Linked DNA regions of Cricetulus griseus. The protein of the gene in region 1 purifies or fractionates together with the protein of each later gene. This does not show direct contact. Links are inferred from orthologs where the notes say so. Each region holds a gene or a part of one and is shown on either strand. Other genes may lie near its edges.

Region 1 (3,759 bases):
CTGATTATTCCACAAGGGTACCGCTGTTTCCAGTGTTTGCATGACCAGACAGTACAGGGGATGGAGGGAGGGAGGGAGGGAGGGAGGGAGGAGAGAAGAGAGAGAGAGAGAGAGAGAGAGAGAGAGAGAGCGCACTAACACTCATCTGAGTTGTTTGTTCCACTACTGTAATTGCTGCACTGCTGTAAAGAGTTCACGGGAGGATCTCTAGCACCTTACGCTGAGAGTCTTCACCTGGTTTTTCTTTCTCAACTCTGAAATCTTGGCCTTTTGGGAATGAGCTTGTCAACAAGAGAACTTGGCTAACAAGGCAATCTTTTAGTCAGCCACTGGCCCAGCATGCAGGGCTGGGGGTACCATCCTCGCATGCAGCTTAGAAATACTTTCCAGAGAGAACTCTCAGCCTTGTGTGAAGGTGTGTCAAGTTTTCCTATGCTCTGTAAGCACTAGAAATGCCACTTCATTCAGAGTTGCCTGGAATTAGGCATGTGAGTTCCGCATGTTTTTCACGTGTGCTTGCAAATGAGGCTTGGGGACAAGGAAAAACAAATAGATCCTTGTGGCTGTCTCTGTTCAGGCATAACAGCTGAGGGATAGACATGCAGGAGGGATTGCTCTAAGATTCCACCGTTCTGCTAGTTAAATTGGGTCTGGAACCACCACAGAAATTCCATCCACTGCTTGGAGAACAACAGTCCCCAGCCCAGGCTTTCTACCAGGCAGTGGCCTGCTGCCTTTCCTAGCTGAGCCAACTTCTAACTTGGCTGACTCCCCAGATGAGAAGCCGAGATTTCTGCTCGTGGTCTATGGCCAAGTTCACTACAGTCCTCCAACCAAAAGACTGTTGTCCGTCTGAGTCCTTTCAGTGCTCAGCAGATGGGAGGGGTGGTACATCTTGGGGATGACAGCGGTGTTAGGTTCAACTTAGCTCCTTGCTTACAGCACAGGCCCTCAGAAAACCAAGTCCATCTTAGTTCTAACTGCCTGAGATTTTCAGGGTTCTCCCAGAAAGAAAACAGACAATTAGGATTTTTATTTGTATCAGCAAGAGGCATTGTGGGTAGCTGGTATCACTGCTTCTGTGCACAGCTCTTAAGCTGGGAGGAGGGCCAGGAGTCAGGGTGATTTAGTAGACAGAGTATCTTAGGCTGCTGCTGAAGACCAAAGCTGAGCAATTGGTTTGCATGTAAATAGACCATCTTGAAAATTACAGAGTAAACACCAGAGGCCTAGTGCATGCCAAATGTTGTCCTAGATCTCTTCTGTCCTCGAGTATTGTGACAGGCGGGTTTACCTGGGCATTGACATGTAGTTCCTTCAAGCTAACTTAATTTACACTGCTCTGAGAGGGCAGCTGTGGTTATCTTGCTTGCCCTAGTATTTTATAATACAGTGATAACACCTCTACCCTCAAGTTACCTGGTTTTCCAAGCTTAATTGTCCTTTCGGATTCCTCATTCTATTTTCTATATGACTAGTTAAGAAAATCCTTTGCTTTACAGTGAACTGAGGTTTAAGACAGGATAATTTAGGAATCCTCCCAGCTTGTGCCCCATCTTCAAGATGGTGACTGTGATGGGAACGTGTGCCCATTTAACAGAACTGTAGGTGAGGCTTCTGAGAAATCAGAAGGGAAACAGTCTACAGGGTCTCCAGGCTCTTCCCCTGGGGGGAGTCAGAGACTTTTAGGTTTTAGAATTTGATAGTAGAAGAATTTTTAATCCTTTTCTTCTCATTGCTCTTGTCTGATTTCTGTCTGCCCATCTTTTCTAGTACAAGGATTCAGTGGAAATGGCATTGTCAAACCAAGTTTATGCTTGTTGTTGCATTTCCAAAATTCCTGGTACTCTGTCTGGGCTTACTAGCCAGGTCACTTTCTAATGTGCAGACAGGCTCTTTAGGCTAGCTCAGCACAGCCTGCTCTAGTCTGGGGAAATGCTCAAGAGTATTTCTGTAATTCCTGAAGTAGAGGTGTGGTGAAGTTCTTGCTCAAGTAGTCCTTGTGTTCTGTGTAGAGGGAGATGAAGCTCCTTGGCAGTGCTCCCCAGCATGGTGCTCTGCTGCCTTCCCCTTCCTGATTGTTTGGCAGTCCTGAGCCTCACCAGCAGACTGTTTATAATTCCAAGCAGGAAAGGTTAAAGGCTGCTTAGGGTATTTAGAAAAGTGCCAAATGGGCCAGACCTGCTGCATGTGCATGAGGAAATTTACCAAGAGCATGTATGTGTCAGAAGGTCTGCTACCCAAAAAGTGCCTCTCTGGCTCAGCCTTGTGAGAGGAAACCCAAGTGCAGTTGGCACATCTGTCAGCTATGTCATAATAACCTCAAATGCAACTGGGCTTTCCAGAGGTTTGGAGCTCTCTTGTATGACCTGATGAGAGGGTATGTTGGTGACCTGTAGCAGAGCCTTGGATGGTAGGTTTCAAGTGGACAGAAGTACACCCCCGCCCCCCAGTCTCATGGTAGAGTAACCATATCTTAGGAAGGAGCCCACTGGAGCTTTCTTTAGTTACATTGCAACCACAGACTGGCAACTGCTCCATCACGTAGGTTGGGGACACTTGCAGGAGAGTCACACTTTGTCTCCTTGAATAACTTCGGTTTTACTTGTGCATGAGCTGGATCCACCGTGCTACTTTGGATGTTCCTGTTGCAAGCCTTACTCACCCCTTTCTCCCTCTTTAACAGAGCCTAATTCTGGAGACTCCTAACTGTCCATCTCACTCTGCAAATTTTCTCAGTCCACTTGCCAGGGACAGCGCTGACTGCACACACTTCCAGGCTTTACCACATCCACCTGGACAAGGAGTGGCATTCCTAACATGCTCTGTCTTCATTTCTCCTAGGCTGACAAACGGGCTCATCATAATGCACTGGAACGAAAACGCAGGGACCACATCAAAGACAGCTTTCACAGTTTGCGGGACTCGGTCCCGTCACTCCAAGGAGAAAAGGTGAGTTTATTGACAAATCAGTTGGCCCACCAGTAGCTTGGAACAGGACAGCCCTCCCTTCTGTGAAGAAAGGCAATCAGGTGGCACGGTCTCCTGTTTTTATTATTTATTTCATTTTATGTTTTTGATTCTCTGGAAGATTCTCACATATCTCAGTTGTTCTTGATTATCTTTAGCAAAAACAACATCATTTGTAATAGAGGTGTTTGTGAGACATCCCTAAAAAGTGGCCTTGCAAAATTGGAGATACGTGTCATTAATTACTTGTTTCTTTGGTGGTGCTGGGGATTGAACCCAGGACCTTGTCATGCTAGGCAGATAAATTAGTCATTCATGACATTATCATAACTATATACCTATGTACTGTAGTGTATAACTTGGTCCATAATTAGTTTGTGATCACTAAAGATTTCCGGGCCAGTGATCCCCTAAACCTCTGTGGGAATCGGTCTTGTTCAGTTCAGCATTAGTACTTAGTGTAAATGAACACTTGCAGGCAGGGCTGTGAACCTGCCTGGGCACCAGTGATTTCCAACCCTGACAGCCACTCTTCCCAAGATGTGTAAAAAGCATTGTAACCCATGGAACAAGAGTTAAGAGACTTGTTCATATGAAAGAGAAGTAAAAGGAAACCATTCCCATTCTCCCTAGAGGCCTTTAGAAACTGCTCTTTTCCCTGGAGAGGCAGGAGCCAGCTGTTTCTGTCTTCAAAAAACAAAAGCTTTGAGCAAAAGCCTATGGGTTAGGTCACTCCTTGGAAGATAGAGAAAAAATTTGTTTGCACAATTAGTTCCACCCTTGACGCTG
Region 2 (4,247 bases), on another chromosome or scaffold:
TACAACCAACACCATAGCTCCATTCAGCTGTGCAGGGTGTCTATTTCTAGGACAGCCTTAAGGAAAAGAGCGCCTCATTTGTTTTGGTCCCCTGGATGTTGTGGCAGCCTTTGAAGTAGGTACTTAAGGGCAGTGTGGATGGGTTGGGTTGTCTAAGTGGCCTGCCTCTAAGGTCTCAAAGGTTTGCTTTCGGGGTTGTGCGATGGAGCCCAAGATCCTGAAAGCACTGGTATGTCTCCACTCCCCCTGCACTGGTTAACCAAAGAATTTGAGGCGGCGTTAACAGGTCTGTGCCTAGCACTGGAACAATAGAATTGGGCTGGCTCCACGGTGCTCATAATAGTCCAGTGCTTTTCTATGTTAATGGAGATGGTGTGGCTTCCTCCAAAGAAGCCAAACAGTAAGGTTGGCTTTTCGGTATAGGACATTTCTGCTGTCCTAATCAATAGTATGTAAGTGCTCAGACCTCTCTCTGCACAGTAGTTTGATACTCCTTCACTTTTTGCGGGGCGTGGAGTGCGGGATGAGGTGGTGGTGAGAGAAGTCTGGCCTCAGACCTGACTTCGAAGACTTAGCTGCTCACGGAACAAGAAGCAGTTGGAACCGTCCCTTTTCTTGGGCCTCAGTTTTCTTATCTGCAAAGTGCAAGGATTTGGGCAAGCTGACTTCGAAGATCTTTCTGATGATACCCAGGGACGGTCCTAAGTCCTGGAGCCAGGATAAAGGCTAGCTGGCGAGCCTAGGAGAGAGCGCGGTTCTAGACCAAAGCAGCGACCCCGCCCCGCGCCCAGCGGGCAGCCCGGGTAACGCGCAGCTTCCGCCCTCCACGTTGTTGTTCCTGGTTTAGGCTACGCCTCCTTGGCCTGGGCTGTGGACGTTTTGCCTTTTGACCACTGCTGTCCCGGCACCACAACGAAGTGTGTCCTTTGGAATGGCACATTTTCAGTCTCCGCCCATAGCGGACACGAGTGGACAAAGAATTTAGGGAAAGAGAAGGAATACTTGGTTTTGAATGGGAGGGTGATGTAAGGCAGGGGATGGGCCTGAGCAGGACTGCGGAATTCCCCTGTCGGTGTCTCACCCTACCTTCACCCGGTGGCCCTACTCGCACCCGCTGAAACGACCCTGCAGACACTGGCCCTTTAAACAGAAGGCTGGCTGTGCGGGGTGTCCATGTGGAGCTGCTCCATGCCGTGTTGTCCTGCTCGCCCATTGGCGGACGGCCTGGTGATGTAGTCTAATAGGATGCGAACGCACTGCGGGGGGAGGAACGGAGGCAAAATCCGGAACAGGATCAGCGGTCCCGTCCCTCTGTCAGTACTGAAGCTGCTTGCTGCTGTCGGCTCCGCCCAGGGGCGGATCCCAGGGGAATTGCGACAGACAGGACGGCTGCGGGATTTAGGTCGTGTCTTCGTGGGGCGTGGAGATCTAAGGGTCAGGTCGTAGGTTTCCTTGACTTGTACTACCGCTGTCTCAGCTAACCGAAGCCTCGGATTTCCCGTCCTTTCTCCCAGCAAGACACATCTCGCTGTGGATGCCCCAAACACGCAACCCCCCATTCAACTTGTGGCTGCCCGCGGAGCAGGGAGGGGCAAGGCGGGAAAGCGGAAGCAGCACGGAAGCCCGGTTCCATCTTCTCTTCCCCCACCCAAGCCACGTGTGCGCGCGCGGTAGGCGGGGCTATCCATGGCGCGACCCCGCCCTCAGTGAGACGCCGCGGCCCTACGGGCGGGGGCTCCGGTCCGGGCTTTGGCTGCGGCCCCGGTGTAGTAGCGGGGGCGGCGGCCGGGGGCAGCGCGGCTCCTTCCCTTGTTGTGTGTGTCGGTGCCTCCTCGCCATCTTGTTGCAAAGCCCTTTCTTGTCGGCGGGACTCCCGGGGCTGCGGGGCGGGAGGCATCGGAAGGGAGGAAGAGGAAGAAGGAAGGAAGAAGGCAGTACCGCCTTTTTTTTATTTTTTGCATCAAAATTGTTTCAATTTGCAAATTCCTATTTTGCAAATATTTTGGGAGACATTGATTTTTCTTCCCGTGCTCCCCCGTTCTTTCCTGAGGAGTGCGCTGCGCCGCCCAGCCCTGTCGCCCCCCGGAGGTGATCCCTCCCTCCTGCCGGCCCGCCAGCCTGACCTGTGCTTGGCTCGCGGGCCGCAGCCTCAGCCCCGGCGCGCCCCCGGCTGCTCTCGGCGCGATGAGCATAGAGACGCTACTGGAGGCGGCCCGCTTCCTGGAATGGCAAGCGCAGCAACAACAGAGAGCACGTGGTGAGCGGCTCGGCTGGGCCCCTGGGGCATTGGGCAAAAGGGGAGGCCAGTGACCCCGATCCCCAAACCCACTGGAAATAGCAGGCAGGCCCCTCTACGGCGCGACCTAAAAAGCCGGGCAGAGCACGGGCTCCCCGCAAGATCTGCCGTCTCGGAGGAGTAATGCTAGCAGTGAAAATAATGAATTCATTAACATGCAAAGAGGGACCCAGCTTCTGCGGGTGCCACCCTAGCTGCTGGCAGCCCCGGCACACCTTCAGTGGGGGGCTCCTTAGGTGTGGGCGGGCGGCTCTCGGTACCATTGAGGATGTGTGAACCGGAGGATGGGGACAGGGATGTTGATGTGTGGGGGTGGCAGACCCGCGTGTGCGTGCGTGTGTGCACCAAGATGTGTGATGGGAGCCGGGGGAGAGCGGATGAACGGACGTGTACACGGGTGTTTGTACAGCACACGAGGGGGCGTGTGCGTAACTGGGTGGGGGTGGGGAATACTCTACGCGGAGCAGTTCTCTGGATTCCCTGTCCCTGGCAGGAGGGTGCGGGGAGCGCTCCCGGCAGATCTACGCGCTGCTTGGGGCGGAGGCGGCCTTTGCAGAATGAAATGACATCGCGTGTCTTATGATCTTGGCCAGCCCCGCCTGACCCCGCCTCCCAGAGCTGGGCTGGGTCGCATGTCTAGGTTTGGCTGAAAACTGCGCTGATTGGGTGCATGTGAGTGTCCCGCGGGTCGCTGGGGGCAGCCCCTGGGCCCCCCTGCTTTGCCCTGCTTTAGCCGGTGTGGAATGTGGCGTGTCTGCGCGTTTCAAACCCGCTCTTGGCTGGAATGTTGCGTGTGCCTGCGTCCCAAGCCCGTTGGTTACACCGAGTGGTGACGTAGACAGGTCCCGCCCCCGACCACGTGCACGGGGGACACTCCCGCTGGGGACTGCGCGGCCCGGCCCCTCCTCGCTGCCTCGCGCTTGCCCGGGGGCGGGGCCTGGGCGGGGCTGGCGGGGGGCCTTGAGTCGGGTTGGGCTCCGGCTCTGGTTGCTGGCCATCTCCTAGGGAGAGCCTTTGCCCTGGGTAGGAGGAGCTACGTTCACCTTGGCTCTTGCCGGGTCCTCCTGTTTTTGATTCTGTAGTGAGGGAAACCCTCAGAATCTCAGGGTGACATCTACAGCTAACATCTCCTCACTGACCCACTAACGGCGTACCTAGACCCTTCTGGCAACACCCCGGCCACATTGGAATAAGTCAGCGTGAAAGGGCAAACTTTGGCACGCCCTCAGAGAGGATAGGCGAGGGTTTTATGATCCTAACCCCCACCTCTTTTGGCGGTGGTCTCTAGTCTTCCTGTACTGCTGAAATAGAGAGTGAAGGAAAAGATCTCAGCTTTCCGGACGCTTGCAAGGGCCTGAAGTGATATGTGTGCGGTTCTCAGGGATTCCTGTCCGTCCGTGCCCCCCCCCCCTTCAGGCGGTAACGTTGTGGTGGAGAGAGTTTTTCGCCCTCCTTTCCTTTCTTTCTGCCTATTGTTGCTTCAATGATGAGTCATGCAGGAGGTAGTAGTGTGTGTTGTGTGTGCTCGCGCGCAAAGGCGCGCGCACGCCTGCAGCTGGTTCCGCGGTAGGGCGGGAGTAGTGGTAGCCGGCAAGGGGCGGAGGAGCTGCAGGTCCGAGGGCCTAGTCAGGCCGCCCAGCCTCTCAAGGTCAGGAGTCACTGGAGGCGTGTAAGACCCCAGTGCTTAGCTTTTGCAGAACAGATGGTCTGGGGTATCCACCCTCATGCCCCTCCTCTTTGTGTTTTGGGCCCAGAAGCAGGGTCAAGCAATGGACAGAGTTGGTGGTTAACCAGAATGACAAGTGTGTGGTTTCAGCGGCGGATGTGGGGAGGGGGAGAACTAAAGAGTTTGGAGAGAACGAGTCACCCGCTGCTACCATCAACACAGTGCAGTTCAAGAGTACCAATTATATCCCCATAGAGTCCCAGGCAGTCTGCTAGAGGTGAACAG

The links. Proteins that work in one complex are often made in the same cells at the same time.
Region 2: the proteins of Max (region 1) and Mnt purify together in Homo sapiens (affinity purification with mass spectrometry; 7 studies listed by BioGRID and IntAct, with this or other methods). This does not show direct contact. The link is inferred for Cricetulus griseus from reciprocal best matches to the Homo sapiens genes MAX and MNT.

The regions. Positions count from the first base shown.
Region 1 is NC_048598.1:126,569,147-126,572,905, forward strand, and holds part of Max (protein max), read left to right. Parts: intron 1-2,844; coding exon 2,845-2,952; intron 2,953-3,759. UniProt on the Homo sapiens protein: Transcription regulator. Forms a sequence-specific DNA-binding protein complex with MYC or MAD which recognizes the core sequence 5'-CAC[GA]TG-3'. The MYC:MAX complex is a transcriptional activator, whereas the MAD:MAX complex is a repressor.
Region 2 is NC_048600.1:88,288,993-88,293,239, forward strand, and holds the start of Mnt (max-binding protein MNT), read left to right. Parts: upstream 1-1,369; 5' UTR 1,370-2,184; coding exon 2,185-2,257; intron 2,258-4,247. UniProt on the Homo sapiens protein: Binds DNA as a heterodimer with MAX and represses transcription. Binds to the canonical E box sequence 5'-CACGTG-3' and, with higher affinity, to 5'-CACGCG-3'.